Tamandua tetradactyla: one gene and its partners. The protein of the gene in region 3 binds, or shares a complex with, the protein of the main gene of each other region. Links are inferred from orthologs where the notes say so. Each region holds a gene or a part of one and is shown on either strand. Other genes may lie near its edges.

Region 1 (7,311 bases), about 43 Mb from region 3:
CCCAGAAAAGCCGTGTTTTAACCTTGATCCAATCTTGTGGGTTTCTTTTAATCCGGGGTCAATATTGTAGGGCGGAAACTTTTGATTAGAATACTTCCACCGAGATGTGACACGCCCCATTGTGGGTGTGACCTTTTGATTAGATGGAGATGTGAATCATCCATTTCAGATGGGTCTTAATTAGTTTACTTCGGTCCTTTAAAGAGGAAACAATTTTGGAGAGGGCTCAGAACAGAGACATGGATGTTTGGAGATGCTTGGAGCCCAGCAGATGTCACCATATGCTTTCCCATGAGATGTTAAGTGAGCCAGAACCTGGAGAGAGCCAAGGGAAACCAAGAGATGAAAGCCAGCCCAGGAGAAGCAAAGCGATGAAGTGCCCACAGGAACAAAGACCTAAAGCAAAGGAGCCTAGGGGCACAGGAGCAGCAGATGCCAGCCACGTGACTTGGCAGCTGACAGAACTGCTCCAGACCCACTGGCTTTTCTTAAATTAAGGTCTCTTTCCCTGGATGCCTTAGTTTGGACATTTCTATGGTGTTAGAACTTTAAGCTTGTAATATAATAAATTCCCTCTTTAAAAGCCATCCATTTCTGGTATATTGCATTCCGGCAGCTTAACAAACTAAAACATGGGCCCAACCACACCTGGCTTCTTCCACGCCCAAAAGACACAAGCACCAAAAAGGAGATGAGAGGCACGTTATCCAAGTGCAAAGTGTGGGGAATAAACCAATCGGGAAAAAGGCTGGGGGCTCGGGTAAAATTGAGTGTGTGGATGTCATGGTCAGGTTCATGTGTCAACTCGGCCAAATGATGGTTGGGCAAGCGCTGGCTTGTCTGTTGCAATGAGGACACTTCAAAGAATTAAATCATGAGCATGTCAGCTGCCTCCACAGCTGATTCCATTTGTAATCAGCCAAAGGGGCGTGTCTTCTGCAATAAGTGATGCTTAATCTAATCACTGAAAGCCTTATAAGGAGGATTCAGAAGAAACAGGCTTCCAGTTTCAGCTGGCGAGCCTCTCCTGTGAAGTTCGTCCAGACCCTCAGAATCGTCGCCTTCACAGCCTACTCTGCGGATTTGGACTCTGCGTTCCCACGGTCACATGAGACACTTTTATAAATTTTATATTTGCGAGTGTTCCCTGTTGATTCTGTTTCTCTAGAGAACCCTAACTAATACAGTGGATTACCTGATAATATTAAAGCTTTTTTTTTTTTTTTAACTTTTATTGTGGGAACATTTACAATGTATGTAACATTTCCCACTTTAAGCCCTTTGAATTCTACAATTCGGTGTATTGATGGCATTCATGGTGTGAGCTCCCATCTCCACTGTCCCCACCCTGTAAGGGATAGTGAGGAAATCAGAAGTCCAGTGGCTGCACAGTGACCTGTTCCCCAGCATGGCCCCGGGTATCAGATCCCCTGCTATACAAAGCAGCACCGACCATCCTTGTAACTAAACCTTTGCACACAACTGTGATTTGTTTGGACTTTTATTTTGATCTTTATGGTGACATAACAAAGTTATGAGCATGACATAACTTTGAAGGGCCCACTTCAGTGGCCCCTCACCACCATCCATCAGCGGCATTTGCCCAACACTGCAAAACCATCCAGCACTTTCCTCCAGATGGATTCCATATGACCTGCTGGGCAGGTCAGCCTGGCAGCACCTGCATCCTGCATGCTCACAGCACTTGGAACTTTTTTTTTTTTAATACCAATTTGATAGAAGGCTCAAAATAGTGTCACTTGTCCACTGTGATGATGTGAAAGCAAAGCACCACCTCACACCCAGAGGATCTTGGGTCCTGGAGGGCTGGCACAGCCTGCAGGAAGCAGACAAAAGCCATGTGCCTGCACACTGGAGCACGGGCAGGCGCCAAGACACCACAGGACCAGCGATTGTCCTTCCAGCAAGGCCAGGAGACACAGAAAGGACCAGCCTCTTGGTCAGCTCATCTCAATGTTGGCAATTTACCTCTGTTCTCATTCAAACAGGAAGTAACAAACTCCAGGCATTCGAGGAGAGCTGGCTGCAACTACAACATGACGAATTTTTGTGAATTTTCTTGGTGTTCTGGGTACACCTCACAGCTCAGTAGTGTAAACCAGCTGCTGTTTTGTGATGCCAGATTCTGCAGGTGGTGAGGTGAGAGGCCAGGTAGGGGCCTCTGCGCAAGCCAGGGTGTGGGGGTAGGTCCACGCTAGACCACCTGGCTCTTATGTCTCAGGTTTTGGGATTGCGAGAAGCAAGGTCCAATGGCCTCCTGGTTGCCTGGATGTGCTTTGGTGCCAAGTCCCTGGAGCCAGCATGGGATGCAACCTCTGGAGGCCTTGGAAGGAGTGACTACTTTATGCATAAGGGGAATGTGAATAATTTGCAGTTCCATTAAAGGTCACACATCCTTGGCTTCTCTTCCTGATGAGCCCTCCCACCGGGGCTGGCCTGGGCCATGGCTCAGCCTGCAGAGGCGTGGTTCTAGCTCTTCTAAAGTGAAGTTGCAGAAGTCTGATGAACTTTCATTTTGGAGCCCTGCCCTGAAGGAGAGGCCTAACTCCCTTGGGAAGAGGACCTGTCGGGGGGCCCCCAGTGAACAGTGGGAGCTGCCAGCAGGGCACCGAGCTTTCAGACACAGACCTTTGGGTGGCTCCAGCACAGTTCCCATCTGACTGCAATGGGGCGAACAACCCAACAGAGTTGACTTGACCCAGAGAACACGAGAGAATGAGGCATTACTGCTTCAAGCCACCACAGTGGACTGGCTTGTTACGTAGCTGAAGATGTTCCTGAAACAGGTGGAGGACGTGGCTATTGTTTAAAAAAAAAAAAAAAAAGCTTTTTCTTGTAAACTGGCCCTGAAACATCTATGCTTGACGAGAAGTCTGAGATTTGCTTCCAGGTTGCGGTGCATGGGAGGAAGGAGACTGGCTACGAGGAGCAGCTGTGGGAGCTCGGGCCAGGCCCACTGGGTTCGGGACACACTAGTCTTTCTACCTCCGTGGAGGTGGTGGGCAGCTTCTAGGGTGGCCCTGGGGAGCCCACCTCTGGGAGCTGATGTCCTTGCCTCCCGTGTGACCAGGAGGCTGGGGCAGAAGTGATGGCCGGCACTTCCAAACGCAGGGACGAGATCGAGTGCCTGCTTGTTCTCTCTCTGTGGCCTGCAGCCCATAGCCATATGAGTGGCTTGGAAGTGGATCCTCTGGGTTTGGCTCCTCGGAGACCACAGCTTCCAGGGAGACCCTTAGCCAAGGACCCCCCAGCTCAGCTGCTCCAACCTCAAGCCAGATAATAAACGGTGGTTGTAAGATTCTAACTTTCAGGGCAGTTTTTCATCCAGCAATCTGTCACTAATAAAGTGTATTAGGAAATGTTCTATCCTAGAGGTGTGTGTGTGTGTGTGTGTGTGTGTGTGTGCTTGTGTGTGTGCAAGCATTTGGGTTACCAGGCAGCGGACTTCCTCAAGCAACTAATGACTCAAACAGGAGTACCAGCTCCACTGGAACATTCAGCCTCTACGGCAGCAGCGGGGAAACCTCAAAAGCAACTTCACCATCCAAAAGAAAGGAAGCCTTGCTTTTGGCCCGGCTAAACTCCCTGCGCTGCCAACTCTTAGCCCAGAAGATCCCAAGATAGTCCTCAATAATCACAAACGTTCCAAAAGCAACCAAGGTCAGTATCTGTCCAGCACTCTCGCAGAGACTGCTCTCGGGTGCTGAGTTTCCGAGGCGGGACAACACAGGTGTGCGTGTGCTGTGCCGGCGTCTGCCCGAGCCCGGGGAGGGTGGCCTGTCCAGAGCCAGGCCGTGGCCCTGCTACCCGCGGCCGGACAGCCAGCAAAGAACGCTCTGGTCCGTCCTGGGTGCTTGAGGGATGGCCTACTGTAGTACCGTACGCAGGGCGACATCTCCCGTTTCAAGGCACTGTTTGATTGCGATTCTGCCGAGGGCCGAGGTGAGAGCGTGGGGCTTGTACCGGGCGGGTCGGCGGGCGGCAGGGTTCCCGGGGGTCCAGGGGAGGGAGACAGCAGGACGGCCCGCGGCGCTGGCGAAGAGCACGCTAGGCCCAGGGCCTGGGCAGGAGCCGGCCCGCAGCTTCCGGGCCCGGAGGAAAAGGCACAGGCGGCGGTAGGGGGCGGTCCAGCTGCCGGCAACCGAGCGCCCCTCCCACGCGCAACGCCGGCCTACGGCCTTTTGGGGTACCGAGGCCTCCCCGCCGCGCGTACTCGCGGCCCTCAAGATGGCGGCGCGCGCCCCTGCCGCCCGCGCATGCGCCCTCGTCGACCCCGCCCGGCCGGAGCGGAAGTCGCGTGACCCCGGAAGTGACCGCGGGCGCGGGTGGGGCGGCGGCGACGTTCGTCATTCGGTGCGGAGGGAACGCGAGCGCCCGCGATCGAAGCCTCCGGTGGGTGCCCGCCGGCGCGGGGCGCGGGGACGAGGGGGCCCGGGAGTCAGGGGCGGTGCCGCGGGCGGTGGCGGCGGGCGGGGCGGGACCGCCTTTGTTCTCGCCGCCCCCGCGCCCCGCCCCACGGCGGCCGCCCCGGGGTCCAGGCGGGCGCGGGGCGCGCAGGGCCGGCGGGGCTGGGGCTCGCGGGGTGCGGGCAGCCGCCACGTGAGGAAAGGGGGCGGCGAGGCCCTTCTTTGGGCGGCACGTCTGCAGCTCCTAGCTGGGCCGGGCGGGGCCTAGGGCGCGCCCCTCCCCTGGGAACGGAGCGCGCGTGGGCGCCCGGCCGGGGTCGTGGTTCCCCTGTGCTTCTCGCTAGCGATCCCGCGGCCTGGGGCGGTGTCCCGAGCCCCTCTCCTCGGGCCTCCGTGCCCCGCCCGGCCGCGCCCGACCGCGCCCGGTCGGGATTGCTGCGCTCTGCGCGGAAGATCGTGCCCCTGGGGCCGAGGGTGCCCTGCGGCTACGCTGCTCCAGCGGGCGAGCAGGAGGCCTGGGAAGGGCTTGGGCCACCCCCGGCAGGCGGCAGCTCGCGGCCCCATGACACTGAATCCTTAATGTTGGCAGGTCTGCTCCGGGCTTGTCGCCTCCCGAGTGCGCCGAGATCTCGTGGCTCCCACTGACCGGAAGGATCGAGTGAGTGGGTTATAGAGAGAACTGCTGGGTTCCTCAACGGTGGTAGCGGTATCCTAGCAGGGAGTACGCTGCCCCGGACTTCCTGGGTCCTGAGAGGTCTGAGTGGTCCCCGCGGTTTCTCAGGCCTTGGTCACAGACTCTCACAAATGGAGAGGGCCTTGGCAGAAGCCCGGGGCCCCCACTCCCCTGAGACCCCTGCAGGGCTGGAGCTTTGTCTCTGGCTGCGGCTGGGGGAGGGACAGCATCCGTTGCCAGGAAGACCTAGTTCAGTGACCTGTGGGGGTGGGGGTATCACTTGGCATGTGTGAAGCAGCAACAGGGCCAGGGGCTTGGCTGGCGTGGGAGATGATTTAGCTCGAGGCCTACCAGTCGTGGGGTCCGGGGCCCACCTAGAGCCCCCTGTGCTGCACAGGAGGGCTGTGGGGCTGGGAGACCAGCCTGGCCTGGGTCATGTGGTATCCATGGCAGTGGGATGAAGTAGGGTGTGACCTGTGTCCTGCTGTCTCTTGATGCCAGAGGATGCCCATGGAGTCCAGGTGTCACGAATTGGGGTGGGCTCTGGACCACCCAGCAGAGCTGCCTGAGACAAGCAGGGCAAGGGGGTGCCCCCGTGTCTCAGGCTGTTCCTCTGGTGACTGGAAAGCTCAGCTGCAGAGGGAGGCCCCCTCGGGGCCCTGTGTGGCGAGGCCAGCTCTGCCGATGGCCCTCTTCAGCACAGTGCTAGCCGAGCTGGCAGCCTGGCCTGCAGCAAGGGCTGGAGGTGGCCCCAGTTTGACAGACTAGCAAACAGCTATATCAGAAGTCCAGGCTGCCACAGCCCAGTACTGTGCCCCAGGTGTCCCCGACCCGGCTCGTGGTGAGCATGGCCGAGCAGGAGCCCACGGCCGAGCAGCTGGCACAGATTGCAGCCGAGAATGAGGAGGATGAGCACTCGGTCAACTACAAACCCCCCGCGCAGAAGAGCATCCAGGAGATCCAGGAGCTGGATAAGGATGATGAGAGCCTCCGCAAGTACAAGGAGGCCCTCCTAGGCCGCGTGGCCGTGTCTGCTGGTGAGGCCCCTGCGGCCCCCTCCAGGGACACCTGTCACCCCATATTCCCACACTGCACCCCACCTCTGTGCAGAGGGGTGGAGTTCTGACTACCTGTCTTTCTCCTAGACCCCAACGTCCCCAACGTTGTCGTGACCCGCCTGACCCTGGTGTGCGGCACTGCCCCGGGCCCCCTGGAGCTTGACCTGACAGGTGAGGGTGCTGCCTGCTGCCGTGCTGCTATCCCTAGGGCCTGCTGCCCCCTGCTGGGAAGCTGAGCAGGTGCAGCCCGGCGGGCTGAGCCTTGGCTTTGTGAGCCAGGATACTGCCGGTTGCAGGGGGCCCTGCATGGGCCGGGTGGTGGTGGGTCCCAGGTCTAACAGGCAGCGGGGAGCTATCCTGCTCTGAACTTTTTGCTGATGCGTGTTCTCCTTTTGTCTAGGTGACCTGGAGAGTTTCAAGAAAGCGTCTTTTGTGCTTAAGGAGGGGGTGGAATACCAAATAAAAATTTCTTTCCAGGTAAGGCAGGGGCCGGGGGACCTCAGGGGGTGAGGCCTGGAGAAGCCCCCTGACCCTCTACCGGCATCCTTGCAGGTGAACAGGGAGATTGTGTCCGGCATGAAATACATCCAGTACACGTACAGGAAAGGGGTCAAGAGTGAGTGTGGGCAGTGGGCCCCGGCTGCCTGGGAGGTGATTGGCCCTGCAGGGAGTGGGTACAGGTGCCTGACGGCTCTGGGACCCGCAGGAGTGAGAGGCAGGGCTGTGCGTGTGTGTCCCTGTGGATGTGCCTTCCCGTCCCCATGCTCACTGCTGTCCTCCCCCTCGGCCACAGTTGACAAGACTGACTACATGGTGGGCAGCTACGGGCCCCGGGCAGAGGAGTACGAGTTCCTGACGCCTATGGAGGAGGCACCGAAGGGCATGCTGGCCCGGGGCAGCTACAACATCAAGTCGCGCTTCACAGACGACGACAAGACTGACCACCTGTCCTGGGAGTGGAACCTCACCATCAAAAAGGAATGGAAGGACTGAGGCCAGGCCTGGGAGGCGGCAGGGACGGACAGACATACCCCATCCCTCTCTATCCTCCCTGTCCCCATCCCCAGACCAAAGTGCTGACAGGGCCACCCCTTTGCCGCCTGCCCTTGCCCCATCTGCCTCCCGGCCGAGCTCTCCCAACCCTCCCTGCACC
Region 2 (7,837 bases), on a different chromosome or scaffold from region 3:
CTCCCGGCTGCTCTCATCCTAGGGCCACCCGCCTCGTAAGAACGGCAAGCCCTCGAAGTCCGTTTCTGCGGGCAGTTCTTCCTGCTGTCTAACTTTGGGTGCGGTGTCTTACTTGCGCTACAGACCAGCAGACGTTGCCATGTACCTTCCCATATGAAAGAGGAACCCCAGATGCCAGCAGCCTTTCCTCAGAGAAGGTATCTTCCTCTTGATGCCTGAATTTGGACATTTTTGTGGCCTTAGAACTGTACATTTTAACCTAATAAAACCCCATAGAAAAGCCAACCCGATTTTTGGTATACTGCCTTCCAGCAACTTTAGCAAACTGAAAACCCTGGCCATTTTGCCAGGGAGGCGTGGGATCTGCCGCAGAGGAAAGCGGAGCAGGGGGATAGTGGGAAGGGCAGGAGCTGCCGGGAACCCGGGAGGCGGAACGCACTAGAGGACTGGGCGGCCCGGAATGGGGCGCCGCCCCTGCGCCTCCGCGCGCACACACGGAAGCGGCGCCGACAGAGCGGAACCGGGCGGGCGTGGGAACCCAGGCCCGGCGGAGGCGGCCAGGTTAGTGAGGAGGGTGGGTGGGCTCCCGGGTGCCACCAGGAGCGGAGGCGGAATCCGGGCTCCGAAGAGTGGGCGCGGCGTGGTTGTCACCCGCGGCTGCCCGGTCCTGAGGTGGGATGCCCGGGACTGTTGAGCTGCACTCCTGGGCCCTTGGTGGTAGGGGTGGATTTTCTTGGGTCGGTGGCATAGACCCAGCCCAGGAACCTAAGCCGGTTCCTCCGAGGAGCGGACTCGCCTTGGGTGGAGCTCCGGATTTCCCAAGGAGGGGATTCTACGGAAGGACAAGTTGGAAGGAACTTCCAAGGGGACGATGGCAGCCGAGGGCCCCTCAGCCTCTTCTCTACTCCGTTAACTGACCCTCTCGACCTCCAGCCCGGCAACCCTGTTTGCATTCCCCCATTTGCGGAGCCCTAGTGAGTGTGTTGGGCAGTCCCCCAATCTCGAGGTATCCCGCGCCCCCCTGGCAGACCCGACCGGTAGGCTCCTGCCCTTCCCCTCTCCCACGACGTCCCTTCTCTCCGACAGCCTTCGGTCAGCAGGTTAGAAAGACGTCAAAGGGGAAAGGTTTCAAGGGCCGGTAGGTTCCCACTGTCTCCTCTCCCCTTGGATGTCCCTGGGCCACTTCCTCAGGGCACCCCACTTGTTACCTGCAGAGTCTCACCCCACTGTGTTTTTTTTTTTTTTTTTTTTTTTATTAACGGAAAGAAAAAAAAGAAATTAACACAACATTTAGAAATCATACCATTCTACATATGTACTCAGTAATTCTTAACATCATCACATAGATGCATGATCATTGTTTCTTAGTACATTTGCATCAGTTTAGAGGAACTAGCAACACAACAGAAAAAGATATAAAATGTTAATATAAAGAAAAGAAATAAAAGTAGTAGTAATAGTAAAAAACAACAACAACAAACAAACCAACAAGCAAACAAAAACAAAAAAAAACCCTATAGCTCAGATGCAGCTTCATTCAGTATTTTAACATGATTACTTTACAATTAGGTATTATTGTGCTGTCCATTTTTGAGTTTTTGTATCTAGTCCTGTTGCACAATCTGTATCCCTTCAGCTTCAATTACCCATTGTCTTACCCTGTTTCTAACTCCTGCTGAACTCTGTTACCAATGACATATTTCAAGTTTATTCTCGAATGTCCGTTCACAACAGTGGGACCATACAGTATTTGTCCTTTAGTTTTTGGCTGGATTCACTCAGCATAATATTCTCTAGGTCCATCCATGTTATTACATGGTTCACAAGTTTATCTTGTCTTAAAGCTGCATAATATTCCATCGTATGTATATACCACAGTTTGTTTAGCCACTCTTCTGTTGATGGAGATTTTGGCTGTTTCCATCTCTTTGCAATTGTAAATAACGCTGCTATAAACATTGGTGTGCAAATGTCCGTTTGTGTCTTTGCCCTTAAGTCCTTTGAGTAGATACCTAGCAATGGTATTGCTGGGTCGTATGGCAATTCTATATTCAGCTTTTTGAGGAACCGCCAAACTGCCTTCCACAGTGGTTGCACCCTTTGACATTCCCACCAACAGTGAATAAGTGTGCCTCTTTCTCCGCATCCTCTCCAGCACTTGTCGTTTTCTGTTTTGTTGATAATGGCCATTCTGGTGGGTGTGAGATGATATCTCATTGTGGTTTTGATTTGCATTTCTCTAATGGCCAGGGACATTGAGCATCTCTTCATGTGCCTCTTGGCCATCCGTATTTCTTCTTCTGGTAGGTGTCTGTTTAAGTCTTTTTCCCATTTTGTAATTGGGTTGGCTGTCTTTTTGTTGTTGAGTTGAATAATCTCTTTATAAATTCTGGATACTAGACCCTTATCTGATATGTCATTTCCAAATATTGTCTCCCATTGTGTAGGCTGTCTTTCTACTTTCTTGATGAAGTTCTCTGATGCACAAAAGTGTTTAATTTTGAGAAGCTCCCATTTATTTATTTCCTTCTTCAGTGTTCTTGCTTTAGGTTTAAGGTCCATAAAACCACCTCCAGTTGTAAGATCCATAAGATATCTCCCAACATTTTCCTCTAACTGTTTTATGGTCTTAGACCTAATGTTTAGATCTTTGATCCATTTTGAGTTAACTTTTGTATAGGGTGTGAGAGATGGGTCTTCTTTCATTCTTTTGCATATGGATATCCAGTTCTCTAGGCACCATTTATTGAAGAGACTGTTCTGTCCCAGGTGAGTTGGCTTGACTGCCTTATCAAAGATCAAATGTCCATAGATGAGAGGGTCTATATCTGAGCACTCTATTCGATTCCATTGGTCGATATATCTATCTTTATGCCAATACCATGCTGTTTTGACCACTGTGGCTTCATAATATGCCTTAAAGTCAGGCAGCGCGAGACCTCCAGCTTCGTTTTTTTTCCTCAAGATGTTTTTAGCAATTCGGGGTACCCTGCCCTTCCAGATAAATTTGCTTATTGGTTTTTCTATTTCTGAAAAATATGTTGTTGGGATTTTGATTGGTATTGCATTAAATCTGTAAATCAATTTAGGTAGGATTGACATCTTAACTATATTTAGTCTTCCAATCCATGAACACGGTACGCCCTTCCATCTATTTAGGTCTTCTGTGATTTCTTTTAACAGTTTTTTGTAGTTTTCTTTATATAGGTTTTTTGTCTCTGTGTTTTTATTTAAAGTATTATTTTGCTATCCCATCTCTTGGTTCTTTTGGTTAGTGTCTGTTAATGACCCTCCTTTCCTACGTCTGTCCATCCTCCCTACCCTGAAACCCACAGAAAAAAGAAAAAAAAATATTATTTTGCTGTTTAAATAATAGACACAAATGTGTCTATTTTAAAGTAGAAAATACTGCTGGATACAAAGAAAATAAAAGTCACCCCAAATCCCAACTCCACAGAGATCAATAATGTTAAGTTCTTATTCATTGCCAGATTGTGGTTTTGGGTAAATACACAACATTTAGTATGTTTCTACCAAAAAGTTATTGGCAGGGGGAGGGGTTCAAGAATTCTGTCACCAGTGATCAGACGCAGGGAGGACCATTACCAGCGGTCCTTTCTCTCGCCTGGAGCTGGGCAATGTGGAAAGCCCCTACCAGGTTACGCTCCAATTCTGGCACTCAGCTTAAGGTCCGGGGGGATCTGAGGCACAATTTCTACTCTGAGCTCAGGACTCCTACACCCTCCCCAAACGTCCAACGCTATGGTTCTGGCTCCTCTTTTCTGGCGTCCTTTCCTCTGAGGCTCCCTGTCCCTCTTGTAAATAACCAGCTGGGGCCACCCAAATGTCCTGTGGAGAGCAAGGACATCCAGTGACTCACAGCTAAGGCTCAGCATTCCTCCTAGCCGAAGACCCAGAGTAAGAGAGTGTGACTGAGGGGACAGGAGGTGGAGTCTGGAGCCAATGTTTCCAAGAAAGGTGGGATGGGGCCTTGGATGGGAAGAGGAGAAAAGAGGCAGGGCAGTTCCCCACCTGCTGCCTCAGGGGACAGTGACTGGAAGGTCGCTGAGCTGAGGGTCAGTATGTTGCTTTCTTGTTTGTGAATTTACTCCCCTCTCCTCATCCCTGGTCAAGACCGGCCTTTGTCAGGAAGATAGAGGGAGGAGATACCTGTGCCAAGGGGTCCTGGCTCTCTGGCTGGACATGGAAAGAATCTGAAATAGAACCATATGTGTTGCAAATAACAAGAGCCCAGCTCTAGGACAAAAAGGAATGAGGTTGCAAGAAGTCCAGGGTACAACAGCTTCAGGGATAGCTGGATCTAGGGGCATAATGTGGTTAGACTCCTTATCCCTCTTTGTGGGATTCATTTTAAGTCAGACTCTCCCCAAGCAAGGCCAAAGAGACTTACCTCCTCCTACCAGCTCAGCCCCAAGGGAAGGGATGCTAGTTCCTCTTTTCTGTTGGTCCAGCCAGAGTTGCTGGGTTAATTCTGATTGGTCCAACTTGAGTCCTCTGCTTAGCTCTGAGTTCATTGCTGCACAAAGGGGATGGAATATGCTGAATGGCCAGGGTTTTCAGTTTGCTAAAGTTGCTGGAAGGCAGTATACCAAAAATCGGGTTGGCTTTTCTATGGGGTTTTATTAGGTTAAAATGTACAGTTCTAAGGCCACAAAAATGTCCAAATTCAGGCATCAAGAGGAAGATACCTTCTCTGAGGAAAGGCTGCTGGCATCTGGGGTTCCTCTTTCATATGGGAAGGTACATGGCAACGTCTGCTGGTCCTGTCTGGTTCTGGTTTCAGTGGCTGTCTCCAAATGTCTCTGGGCATTTCTCTCAGCTTCCCTGAGCTCTCTGAGTTTCATCTGCATTTTATCCTCTCATGGGGACTCCAGCAAAGGGATTAAGACTCAGCTTGAATGGCCTGGGTCCCATCTCCATGGAAACAGCCCAATCAAAAGGTCCTGTCCAACAATGTTTGCCCCACAGGGATGGATTAACAGAACATGGCCTTTTTATGGGGTACATAACAGCTTCAAATCAGCAACACCAGGCCAGACCTGGAGCCTAGGAGTGGAATTAACTCTCCCAAGAGTGAGAAGAGGTAGGGGCAATGCCCAAAGGTCAGTCAGTGTTGGGAGAGGGCTGGGCACTTTGCCCAGGACCAAAGTGCAGATATTCTTGGAAATGAAGCCAAGAGGCTGAAGAACAGTTGTAGTGGGAGTGCAGGTGCGAGTGTCTAAGGTTGAGACTGTTCCCGCAGGGATCTGGGGAGCTCATGTTTAAGCTGAGGGAACGACCAGGGCATGGATGCTATCCTTGGCTTTGAGTAAGAGAGACTGGTGGACCTGAGGAGGAGGTAGAGCCTCCGCTGTGGGATCAGATCTCTGCTCTCCTGCCACCGTGACCCTGGGCTTTTCCTGTGAGAAGGCAGGGAAGGGGTAGTTCTCACTGCAAGGCTGGGCTGGGCTCTGCAGGGCCAGAGGCACGTGGTGCTGCCTGTCAGATGGTGAACCCCTCTTGCCAAGTGTACCAGCAAGGTAGGGCTGCCACAGAGGGGCAGCTGGGCCAGGTGGGACTTGTCAGATCTGCCTCCAGGTCTGGGAGCGGGTGACTTGGGCCCCTGATTGTCTTTGTCTCCAGGAGCCGAGATGGCAGCTGACCCGAATGGGCCTGAGGAGTGGGTGGGCAGTGCATACCTGTTTGTGGAGTCCGCACTGGACAAAGCGGTCCTGTCTGAAGCCTATGCACATCCCCAGCAGAAGGTGGCCGTGTACAGGGCCCTGCGGATGGCACTGGCAGGTGCGTGGGTGGGTGGGTGTGTGGAGAGGAGGAGGGCCCTGTGCCCTGCCTGGGTTCTCTGTGGGTGCAGTCAGGGACGGAGGCCCTGTCTCCTAGGTTTGGTGGGCCCCAGCTCAGCCAGTGAATTAGGGAAAAGATCTGATCTGGGGGAGACCCCTGGCTACACAAGTTTTGTCTTCTCTGCTGAGGGCATGTGTGCCTGAGACATGTGTGGCCGTGTCTGTGTAGGCTCTACCTATTTGTGTGCTAACATCCCCCTGCTCAACCCCAGCTGACCCCACCCCAGGCCTGAAGGACCACTCCTTTCTACTCATCGCACTTTTCTCTTTTTCCCCTTTTCCTCTTGGGGAACACCCCTTGCCCAAGGTTCCTCCCCAGTGTCTGCTCTTCGTGGTCCCCCTTTCCTATCTCAGGGCAGAGGCCACAGGAGGCCGAAGCCATTTGGGGGACGTCGCCCCAGCCCTAGAGCAGCCAGAGTCCCTCTCCTTCCCGGGCAGCAGGAACCACACTGGTTGAGGCGGAAGAACTGAAACCTCCCGCCCCTCCACCGTCCTACCAGTCCCCTACTTCCCTCTCCATGCTGCCAAGTCCCTCACCAGGTTCCTTTTGCTCATCCTCATTTGGGGCTTCAGAGATGGGGGTGGGTAGTAGGCACTCCGCCTTGGGGTGCGCCCAGTAATAGGTCCTGGCCTTCGTTCTGTAATAGGTCCAGGCCTTGTTGCTGTTTGCATCCCAAGCTTGTTTACCACCTGAGTGTTCTGGGGTAACCCCACAGCCCCCCAGGTCTGGGGATGAGGGGATTTGACCTCGGGCTTCGCCCCTCCTCCTGCCACCCGGAGGATGACCCCACGTGGGGACCTCCGGGCTCCTGACTGCCCGCCTCCGCAGAGAGCGGCGGGAACCCGGACGTGCTACAGATGCTCAAGATCCACCGTAGCGACCCGCAGCTGATTGTGCAGTTGCGTTTCTGCGGGCGCCAGCCCTGTAGCCGCTTCCTTCGCGCATACCGCGAGGGAGCGCTGCGCGCGGAGCTGCAGAGGTGCTTGGCGGCAGTGCTCGCCTGCAACTCACTGCCTTTGCAACTGGAGCTGCGCGCCGGCGCCGAGCGGCTAGATGCTCTGCTGCCGGATGAGGAACGCTGCCTGAACTGCATTTTCACCCAGAAGGTGTGGCTTCGCTGAGTCTAGGATGGGGCGGGTTGTGGGGGGTGGAGGGGAGGGGAGGGGGAGCTGCGCTCCCAAGATTCCTACCGACGTCGCACTCCCTTACTTAGCCGGATCGGCTCCGTGATGAGGAACTTACTGAGCTGGAGAATGCTCTCCGTGGCCTCTCGTGCGGCCCGGGAGGCCAGAGTGGCGATGTGGAGGTCCCTCCCGCACCCTCTCAGTCCCCAGTCCTCTCGCCGTCCACAGCCTCCTACCGGTCAGAGAAGCCGCCACCGTCACCTGGCCAGACTTTTCTGTTCCAGGGTCACCCCGTAGGTAAGGCGTGCACAGAGAGTCAGGGTCGCCAGGAGGAGTAAGGTTGGGGAGGGTATTGGCTGTGGACTACCTCCCCCCGCCACCCCCTACTGCTCACTCTACTCTCCTTCTCCCGCAGTGAACCGGCCGCTGAGCCTGCAGGACCAGCAGACTTTTGCGCGTTCAGTGGGCCTCAAATGGCGCAAGGTGGGGCGCTCGCTGCAGCGTGGTTGCCGGGCGCTGCGGGACCCAGCGCTCGACTCGCTGGCTTATGAGTATGAGCGCGAGGGGTTGTATGAGCAGGCCTTCCAGCTGCTGCGGCGCTTCGTCCAGGCCGAGGGCCGCCGCGCCACGCTGCAGCGCCTGGTGGAGGCGCTGGAGGAGAACGAGCTCACCAGTCTGGCAGAGGACCTGCTGGGCCTGGCTGATCCCGATGGCGGTCTGGCCTAGGCCAGGTACTGATGCCAGGAAAGGTGCAGTCTGCCAGGCTGGGCTTGGAGCACCTCAGTGCCTCTAGGGTGCCTTCTGCTACTGCTGCTGACTCCCTGTCCATCCGTGGGACTCAGACCACACTT
Region 3 (7,442 bases):
ATATCTAGAGGGTCTTTTGAGGTTGAAGGAAATCCAGGGAAGGCATGAGTGTTGAGGTGTTGATTGGGGTGGGGGGTGGGAGCCGCAAGCTAATGACCTGGGATGATACTGCATGTATATTTGAGGGGAGGTAGGGAGGCTCTGGGTGGAAAGAAGGGGAATTAGATTCCAAATTTGTGGTACCAAGGACTTGAGCATGGATCCAGTTTCCGGAGTTGGTCGCCATTCACGGCCACGCATCGCCATGACTAGAAGGGAGGTGCTAGCCTGGCGTAGGACGGAAGAGTGGATTCAGAGCCAAACTCCTGGGTTCCAACAAGGGCCCACCACTCGCTCGCTGGGAGAGACTGTTCTCCTGCCTAAAGAGTCTGGGAGGTCCAGCTTCCTCCAATGTAAGATGGGAGTAACTCTGCTGGGACTTTACAGGGATTACATAACGCAAGAGAAAGTCCTCAGGACATGCGTGGCACATAGTAGGTATTCAACAAATCGTATTATTTTCGCCTGCCCATCCACGCCCCCTCGGGAAGAAAAGAGGAGCGTGAGCGCGACTGGGCTGCTACAACCGGGTGGGCCCCCCCCCCCCCCCAAGCCCGGCCTCTCCCGCCTGCCCATTTGCTGCCTTAGCTGCATCCCTATTAGGCGCATTAGCCAGCCCGGCGGCTCCGGTTACAGACGTCTGAATGACAAAGTGCCTCCATTACCGGCGCGTCCCGCCAGCCCAGCCGCGGGGAAGCGCTCTGGTTTCAGCACTCTCTCGCCGCGGCCCAGGAAGAAACCTGGACGGAGGCAATGCGCTGTCGGCTCACACAGGGCAGCCCCGGCGTCGAGGCTGCAGGTGGCGGATTCTGCGCAGGACTCCACTTCCCGAGGCCGCAGGCCCTCCACACCCAGCTGCCTCCCTCCTCTTCTCTCCTCTACTTGGGAGCCACACTCCTGCCGGGATCCGGAGCCGCCCCTCCTGGATCCACGCCACTGGCCGCCCCAGTACCCCCCTCACCCCGCACCAGAAGCAGTTCCTCCGGGAAGCATTAGTCAGCAACCATGCCCGCAGTCAATCCCAAGTCCCAGGACGAAGCCACAGGTACTGACAGCTCCAGGGGACCAGGGCTAAGATTCAAGGATGGGGCCCGCGTCCGGAGAGGGTCCCTGCCTACCACACCCTTATATTCCACTGCGGACCTGACTTTGAGAGAGGTGTCAACCTCGGCCCCCCTCAACCCCCCACCCCGAAACGCAGCTCTTATCCCGGGCTGGGGAGCCAGCTGCCCTTAAGGGGTGGGGGGTGCAAGGTTCTGAGCTGGAAATCAGGTGATGGGGCGTTTACTTATGACTCTGCCCCAACTTGCTTGTGGGATCTTGACCAAGTCGTTTCAATCCTTAGAGCCTCAGTTTCCTTCTCTGTGAAACGGGAAGTCGGGGCGCGATGCTCAGGTGAGAGATGAAGATGGCAAGGGGAGAGTGAGGACGCCGCCTTCACTGCCAGACCTTCCGGGGCACTCAGTTTATAGCCACACACTAGATCACATTTCCTGAAAACCTTGTCAGAATACTGGGAAGACTCAGAAGCTTCGAGGACCCGCCGTCCTTTGCCGAGTTGGTGCTAAAGGACACGGCCAAAGAATCCAAGGCGTCCTGGCGCCCCCATCTCGCTCGCCCGACGGCGTCCACCCAAAACCGGGCGGGGCGCAGGCGGGATCCCGACCCTTCTAGGTGCACTCACGGAACTCGGGGGGGGGGGGCGGGGCGGGGGGGGCGGGGACGGTGCGCGGTCTTAGGCTCGGACGCAACTCGGGGTGGCACAGCTGTCGCGCCGCAGCACCCCCTGTGGGCCGCCTGCGGTCTACGCGGCCCGACACCACGCTGCCCCGATGGTCCCCGCCTAGAGCGCCGCGCTCTTTGCACCCCGCGGGCCGCCGCGAGACCCACTCGGGCGACGCCCGCTCCAGACCTCCTGGTCCTCCGCCCGGCTTCAAACCGCGAGACCCCGCGCGCCGCTGGAGCCCGCCGGCCGTGGGGGAACCCGGAGAGCGAGCTGGCCCCTGCGAAGTGGGCGCCCCCCTCGCCGCCCCGGCTGCCCAGCCGCAATTCGCAGACTAGGCAAAGCTGCGAGAAAGAGCGCGGGAGCCGGGCGGAGAAACGTCCCATGTCTCCTGCGCATCCGTGTCTCCGATCTTCCTTCATGTCCCTCGGCGGGCAGACGGGACCCCGACCGCGTTAGGGTTCGCACCCTGTTCTCGGTCCTCTTTTCTTTTGCTTCCACCTCTTCACTGCCTTCACCATCGTCCCTTTTCCGCCCTCCCAACCCATCCGTACTCCCTCCTCAACTGCCCTCGCGCTCTCGGAACCTCTCCCCCCGACGCCCCTCCCCGCCATTGTCTGGCAGGTCCCCATTGTCCGATGCCCGGTCCCCTCTGCCTCTCGTCCCTTCAGCCTCTTCCCTCATTGTTCCATCCCCGCGTCTCCGTTTCTCTGCCCCAGGCTCCCTCGTCCCTCCCATCTCCAGTCCCGGTCCCATTCCCTTCCCTTCGCCTCACTTCGGTCCCACCACCTTGCAGTCCCCTCGAGATCCCGTCATTCCTAAGCCCTCTTCGGAAGAACTCAGGCAGCCAAGAGCGCCCTGACCCTCTGCTGAGACGCCCCTCTCAGCTCCTCCCGCATCCTCCCGCAGTACCCGAAAGCAGACATCTGCGCGCCCGTCTTGTCCGCATTTCTAGCCTGGAACCCAGAGACGCCTCTACGCTGGGATAACCCCAGACGCTCCTCTGAGGCTCCGGCATCGGAGCCCCTCTCCCGCCACCCACCTCCAGCATCTGGGACCCCAACACTCTGTTCTTTCTCTCGGGTGGCGGCTCCCGGATCCCCTCGGGATTCCGATTCGTGGGACGGAAGCGGACTCCCCTCCGACTATCACTCACCCCCAGGAGCAGCAGCAGCAGGCGTGGCCCGTCCATGGCGCGGCTGACGGCACCTGCCCGCATCGCCCGCCTCCCGCTGCAGCGCGCGTGTTCCAGCTCAGTCCGCTCCGCGGACCGGTAGGGTTGCGCTGCGCCCCAGCGCCCGCCTGCCGGCCGGAGCTGGCTGAGCCTCGGCTCGCTCTGACTGCCGGCGGGAGGGGCTGGGTGAAGCCAGTGCGGCCGCCCCGCCTCTTCCCCGCCCAGCCCGCCCACCCCCGGAACCGCGCCCGCCCGCCCCGCCGCCTCCGGGAGGGAGCCAAGGGGAAAGGAGGGTGTGCGGAGAGCCGCGCCCGCGCGCCCCGCTGCCGCTTCTCCGCGCGTCCTGGGCCTCAGAGCCTCTCACCCACTCCGCCCCGGTACCCTGTGCCCGGCTCGCGCTATTGCGCGTGGCCCGCAAACTACCCAGGGTCTAGGGCGTCCCCACTGTGGCTCGCGTTTCTCTCCGGCTGTGGCCCTCACGGGGTTCTCTCTCTTACCCACCTTCCTCCGCCTCTAGCTTCGCTTCCCCTGCTCCCTCCCCAGCAGTTATCAGTAGCGGTGCCCACTTCGCGCCACGCCTATCTCGCGCCCGCCCCAGTGCGGTGTTCTCTGTGCAAGGGCCTAGGGGGAGGGAGGGATGGCAGGTGGCCCGAGCCTGTGCGTGTGTGTTTGTGCGCGCGCTTTGCGGGGCCATACAGGAGAGGCCCGCCCCGACATCATTCAGATTCTCTAGTGATGGGTTTGAAGGGATCACAAGTAGGTGTGCACACAAAACACTGGAATACACACACATACACTCTCGAACTCACATCTATTTGTGTTCCCACACTCACATAAGCCCACACCATCCTCTTGCACACGTGTTCACCTGCACGTTCTACACGTTTGGTGAATGGGAAACCGCGAACATGCATATGCATCTCCACATGTCTGCACACACACACGCACTCTCATTGCACATGGAGACATAGCATTCAAATGCACATACTCATCTACACAGCCACATGCACGGATACGATGCCACACATGTATGGTCACATGAACACCGGCCGTCGTATGTTTATAGTCTCTCATACGTGCACACATATTCATGAACACACACACACCCATACACAAACACACAGATGCATCCTTAACAATATAGACTTCACTGAACCGTTTTCATTAGATCAAAAGCTAATCATCTAATGAACGTTGCCTTCTTGTCTGAATGTCTGGTACATAGTAGATGTTCAATATTGAAGTTCTGTAGGATGGAAGAAAAGGATAAGCGGTTGGACAGACTCACAGAGAGATACACTCTCTCTCTCCATGTGTCCATGTACTATGTAGGTGCAGGATGAGGGCGGGAGTCTCCAAGCAGAGACAGTTTCTATCCCCAGGACCACACTCACCACGCTCTAGAGAGCTCTACGGGCCCACATCAAAGAACCTCCACCCAGGGGCTGTGCTGAGGGAGCAGTCTCTGCTGCTCACTTCCTGTCTGTCCTCATCCTTTCCCCGTCTCCAGATATGCAGGCTCTGGAAGACAGAGCGTGGGGAACAAGTCTACAGAACCCACCCACCCCCTGCGTCCTGATTTGGCCATGCCTAGACCTCAGTTTCTTCTTTGGAAAAATGGCACCAGCTTCCCAAATCACAGGAATGTGGGGAGATCAAGAGCACTGGCGAAGAGGGCCTGCTATCACTTGTTAGGTGATTTCTTAGATCAGCTGAAGTTCATTCATGCATTCACAGAAAAACGAAGTTCGCCCTCTGAACTTCTTTCCCAAATACCTAGCAAAGTCTGGGGAACAGACCCGGGAGGGACAGGTGGGCAGCATCTAATGGCCTTGAGCCCCACTCTTGGTGATGAACCCTTGTCTCCGTCTTTGGGTATAAGAGCTTGGACAGCCAGCATTGACTCAGCGGTCCCTGAGGCTTTTCTCTTGGACAGAGACGGTCTCTAAGATGTCTGCTCCTCCTGCTGCTTTTACTGACCTGCCTTTTCCCTCAGTGGAATTCGTGGAAAGCAGAAAGGGGCAACATTAGTACTAACGGCAGCGTCAAGCTGCCGACTACCAAGGGTATCGATGGTGTGGCATCAATTTAAATACTCCTGTTATTAATTTATGACTGGTTACTATTATTGCCAAGGTTATCCATCTCAACACCATTTAATATGACCCACAGTACCATGACTGGGCCTGGCTTATTAATAATTTCCATCGCCTTGATCATTTAAGCCTTACTCCAACAATCACAAACAGCAATTGTTCCTATTATTAGCAGTATTTCTATGATTAAGCCTGAGCCCAAGACCACGATGTAATGCTGAGTGCTGGCGGGGAGAGGGGTGTGCAGAGGAAAAACCAGCAGCCTGGATTCAGGGCTGGGTAGGAAGGCCTGCCCTGTTCCCCCCTGCTTCCTCCTGTGTGGTCGCAGGCAGGTTACTTCACCTCTCTCAGCTTCTTCACTTCTCAGGTGAAGAAGCTTCACCTCTTCTCAGCTTTCTTAATGAGAATTTAAGAAAAGCTCCCATTCTGAAGGGCATGATGAGAAATAAAAGAGGTAACAGAGGTTCATCACAAGGAGACACTCAATCCCCTTTTATTCATTTGACGCATTTATTGAACACCTACTGTATGCCATGCTCTCTGTTTTAGGCCCTGGGGATTCAGTGGTGGACAACAGCAATGGCCTACGTGGAGCAGATTTTCTAGTGTGTTAGTTACTGGACGGGAAGGGTTGTTTTATAATGTGACACCTCGGCCTGACCATACCACGGCTAGCCTAGCTCCGATGAGGATATTCTGTCTCTGGGACCACCACCGTCACCCCAGCCACCACAGCACCCTCTCCATAGTCACTCCCACCACGACTGCCCCTGCCACGGCCACCCCCACCACCTCATCAACCTCCCTGCATCGGTTCCACCACTAGCAGTGGGGATTCCTGTTCCAGGTGAGAGTGATATGGGTGTTTGGGTTCCTTTCCCTGGGAACAATAGTGGAGGCCCCACAGAGCCTTTGCCTGCCCACGTCTAGCTCCCTAGTGGTCTTAACTCCTAGCCCCCACATGGGCGCTCTTCAAAAACTTCTCCCTGGCCTGGCAAGTCCCACACTCTCCCAACCCCCCTTTCCTCCAAACTGCAGTACCTGCAGTCACAGACCAGGATGGGGATGGGATGCAGGGAGAGGGATCTTAGGAGTTGGCCAGAAAGTGGGGCCAGAGAGGCAGCTCCAAGGGGCAGGAGCTTTCCTGGAGGGTCCCCCAGAACCAGCACCCATAATATAACTACACATATAGAGGGTCACTTCCCCCACTATACCCCCCACCCAAGGCTTCCTGAGCCCAATAGTGACTAAGGTGAAAGGGTTGAGGATATCAGTGCAGTTCTGCGTGGAACTGGGAGTGGAAGTGGGGGGTCAAACTACATCTTCAGGTATCCACATGGGAGGGGCTAGCCACTCCCCTATCCCCCTCACCACCCTACCTTCACCCTGCCCATCTAAGGAGGCAAGCTCCCCCGTAGTACTCCCTGCCATCCCATTCTATTAGACTCCCACCTCAGCTCTCTTTCCCTCTATGCCCTCTGTCTCCAGCTGATTGGAGAAATCAGCTTGGAGGCCCCAACCCACTTTCAAGCAGAAACCGGAAAGCAGATAATGAGACTTCATGAGTGTTGAAACCCCCAACGGGCCAAGAGATCCACCCAATCATTTCCCTTAATCCCCACTGCAACTCCGTGGAGGAAGTTCTAGGCCACCATTTTACAGATGAGGAGACCGAGGCTTAAAGTGATTTAGCCACTTGCCCAAGAGCCCCCAGCAGGAAGCAGCAGTACCACAGTACCACGAGTGGCCACTGTGCCTCACAAGGTGCTCTCCCCCCTCCCCCCATCACACTCTCCCCATTAACCCCTCATCTCCAGGTCACTCCTCCCCTCCATCCCAGCCCCTCCAGCCTTCGCCCCTACTCGATGGGTGGGGTGGATAGGACCTCCATCTCAGAGGTGCTGAGCTCCACCCTTGCATACTGCTCAGATTTTGGCTTTGGGGGCCTGGGTAGGATGGGCAGGGCCGAGCCGGGAAGTGATCTGTGCCTTTTGATTAAAGGCATAATCTCCAAACTTTCTTAGTGGGCGCTCTCTTTTCCTGATTTGGGAGGAATCACCTCCCCTATCCCCCACTTCCAATGTCCAGCCAGAAAAGGCATGAAGGGAAGTGGATAAGGAGAATTTTCAAGGGAGAGAGACAAGGGAGAGGGAAGGAGGAGGTGCCGGGCCTCCCCAGCTGCATCCAATCTGCCCTGGGCAGGTGGCCAGGCAAGGTAAGTGAAACCCACCGCCCCCCATGAGGAGCTGGCTCAGTGGCTTTGAAGCGTGATGCAGTGATTACCTTTGGGGGGGGGGAGGTGCGGTCTGGGGACTGGCTTGGGATCAGTGCGGTTTAATTCTGGAGCTGAATTAGTAGTGAGAGGGGTGGGAGGAATTAGTCAATTTTGGAGTCCAGTTAGATTAACTCA

What was found.
Region 1: the proteins of NGFR (region 3) and ARHGDIA are in contact, whole or in part, in an NMR structure (PDB 8X8T), measured with the Homo sapiens proteins. The link is inferred for Tamandua tetradactyla from reciprocal best matches to the Homo sapiens genes NGFR and ARHGDIA. Residues at the interface, in NP_002498.1 of Homo sapiens: Arg274, Trp275, Ser277, Cys278, Lys279, Gln280, Lys282, Gln283, Gly284, Ala285, Ser287, Arg288, Pro289, Val290, Asn291, Gln292, Thr293, Pro294, Pro295, Pro296, Glu299, Lys300, Leu301, Ile307, Ser308, Val309, Gln312, Ser313, Asp316, Gln317; in NP_001172006.1 of Homo sapiens: Ala8, Glu9, Leu11, Ala12, Gln13, Ile14, Ala15, Ala16, Glu17, Asn18, Glu19, Glu20, Asp21, Glu22, Val25, Pro30, Ala31, Gln32, Lys33, Ile35, Gln36, Glu37, Ile38, Gln39, Glu40, Leu41, Asp42, Lys43, Asp44, Asp45.
Region 2: the proteins of NGFR (region 3) and TRADD are in contact, whole or in part, in an NMR structure (PDB 7CSQ), measured with the Homo sapiens proteins. The link is inferred for Tamandua tetradactyla from reciprocal best matches to the Homo sapiens genes NGFR and TRADD. Residues at the interface, in NP_002498.1 of Homo sapiens: Glu345, Glu346, Glu348, Lys349, Leu350, Asn352, Gly353, Ser354, Ala355, Glu379, Ala380, Cys381, Arg384, Glu420; in NP_001310481.1 of Homo sapiens: Thr201, Phe202, Asn211, Ala275, Glu276, Arg278, Arg279, Thr281, Gln283, Arg284, Glu287.

Annotation. Positions count from the first base shown.
Region 1 is NC_135332.1:74,062,328-74,069,638, reverse strand, and holds ARHGDIA (rho GDP-dissociation inhibitor 1), read left to right. Parts: upstream 1-4,306; 5' UTR 4,307-4,413; intron 4,414-5,016; 5' UTR 5,017-5,085; intron 5,086-5,920; 5' UTR 5,921-5,947; coding exon 5,948-6,137; intron 6,138-6,245; coding exon 6,246-6,329; intron 6,330-6,558; coding exon 6,559-6,635; intron 6,636-6,710; coding exon 6,711-6,774; exon of another isoform or gene 6,775-6,951; coding exon 6,952-7,151; 3' UTR 7,152-7,279; downstream 7,280-7,311. UniProt on the Homo sapiens protein: Controls Rho proteins homeostasis. Regulates the GDP/GTP exchange reaction of the Rho proteins by inhibiting the dissociation of GDP from them, and the subsequent binding of GTP to them.
Region 2 is NC_135342.1:60,850,492-60,858,328, reverse strand, and holds the start of TRADD (tumor necrosis factor receptor type 1-associated DEATH domain protein), read left to right. Parts: upstream 1-4,769; 5' UTR 4,770-4,974; coding exon 4,975-5,104; intron 5,105-5,643; coding exon 5,644-5,802; intron 5,803-6,690; coding exon 6,691-6,968; intron 6,969-7,075; coding exon 7,076-7,283; intron 7,284-7,401; coding exon 7,402-7,712; 3' UTR 7,713-7,837. UniProt on the Homo sapiens protein: Adapter molecule for TNFRSF1A/TNFR1 that specifically associates with the cytoplasmic domain of activated TNFRSF1A/TNFR1 mediating its interaction with FADD.
Region 3 is NC_135332.1:30,679,265-30,686,706, reverse strand, and holds the start of NGFR (tumor necrosis factor receptor superfamily member 16), read right to left. Parts: upstream 3,083-7,442; 5' UTR 2,982-3,082; coding exon 2,919-2,981; intron 1-2,918. UniProt on the Homo sapiens protein: Low affinity receptor which can bind to NGF, BDNF, NTF3, and NTF4. Forms a heterodimeric receptor with SORCS2 that binds the precursor forms of NGF, BDNF and NTF3 with high affinity, and has much lower affinity for mature NGF and BDNF.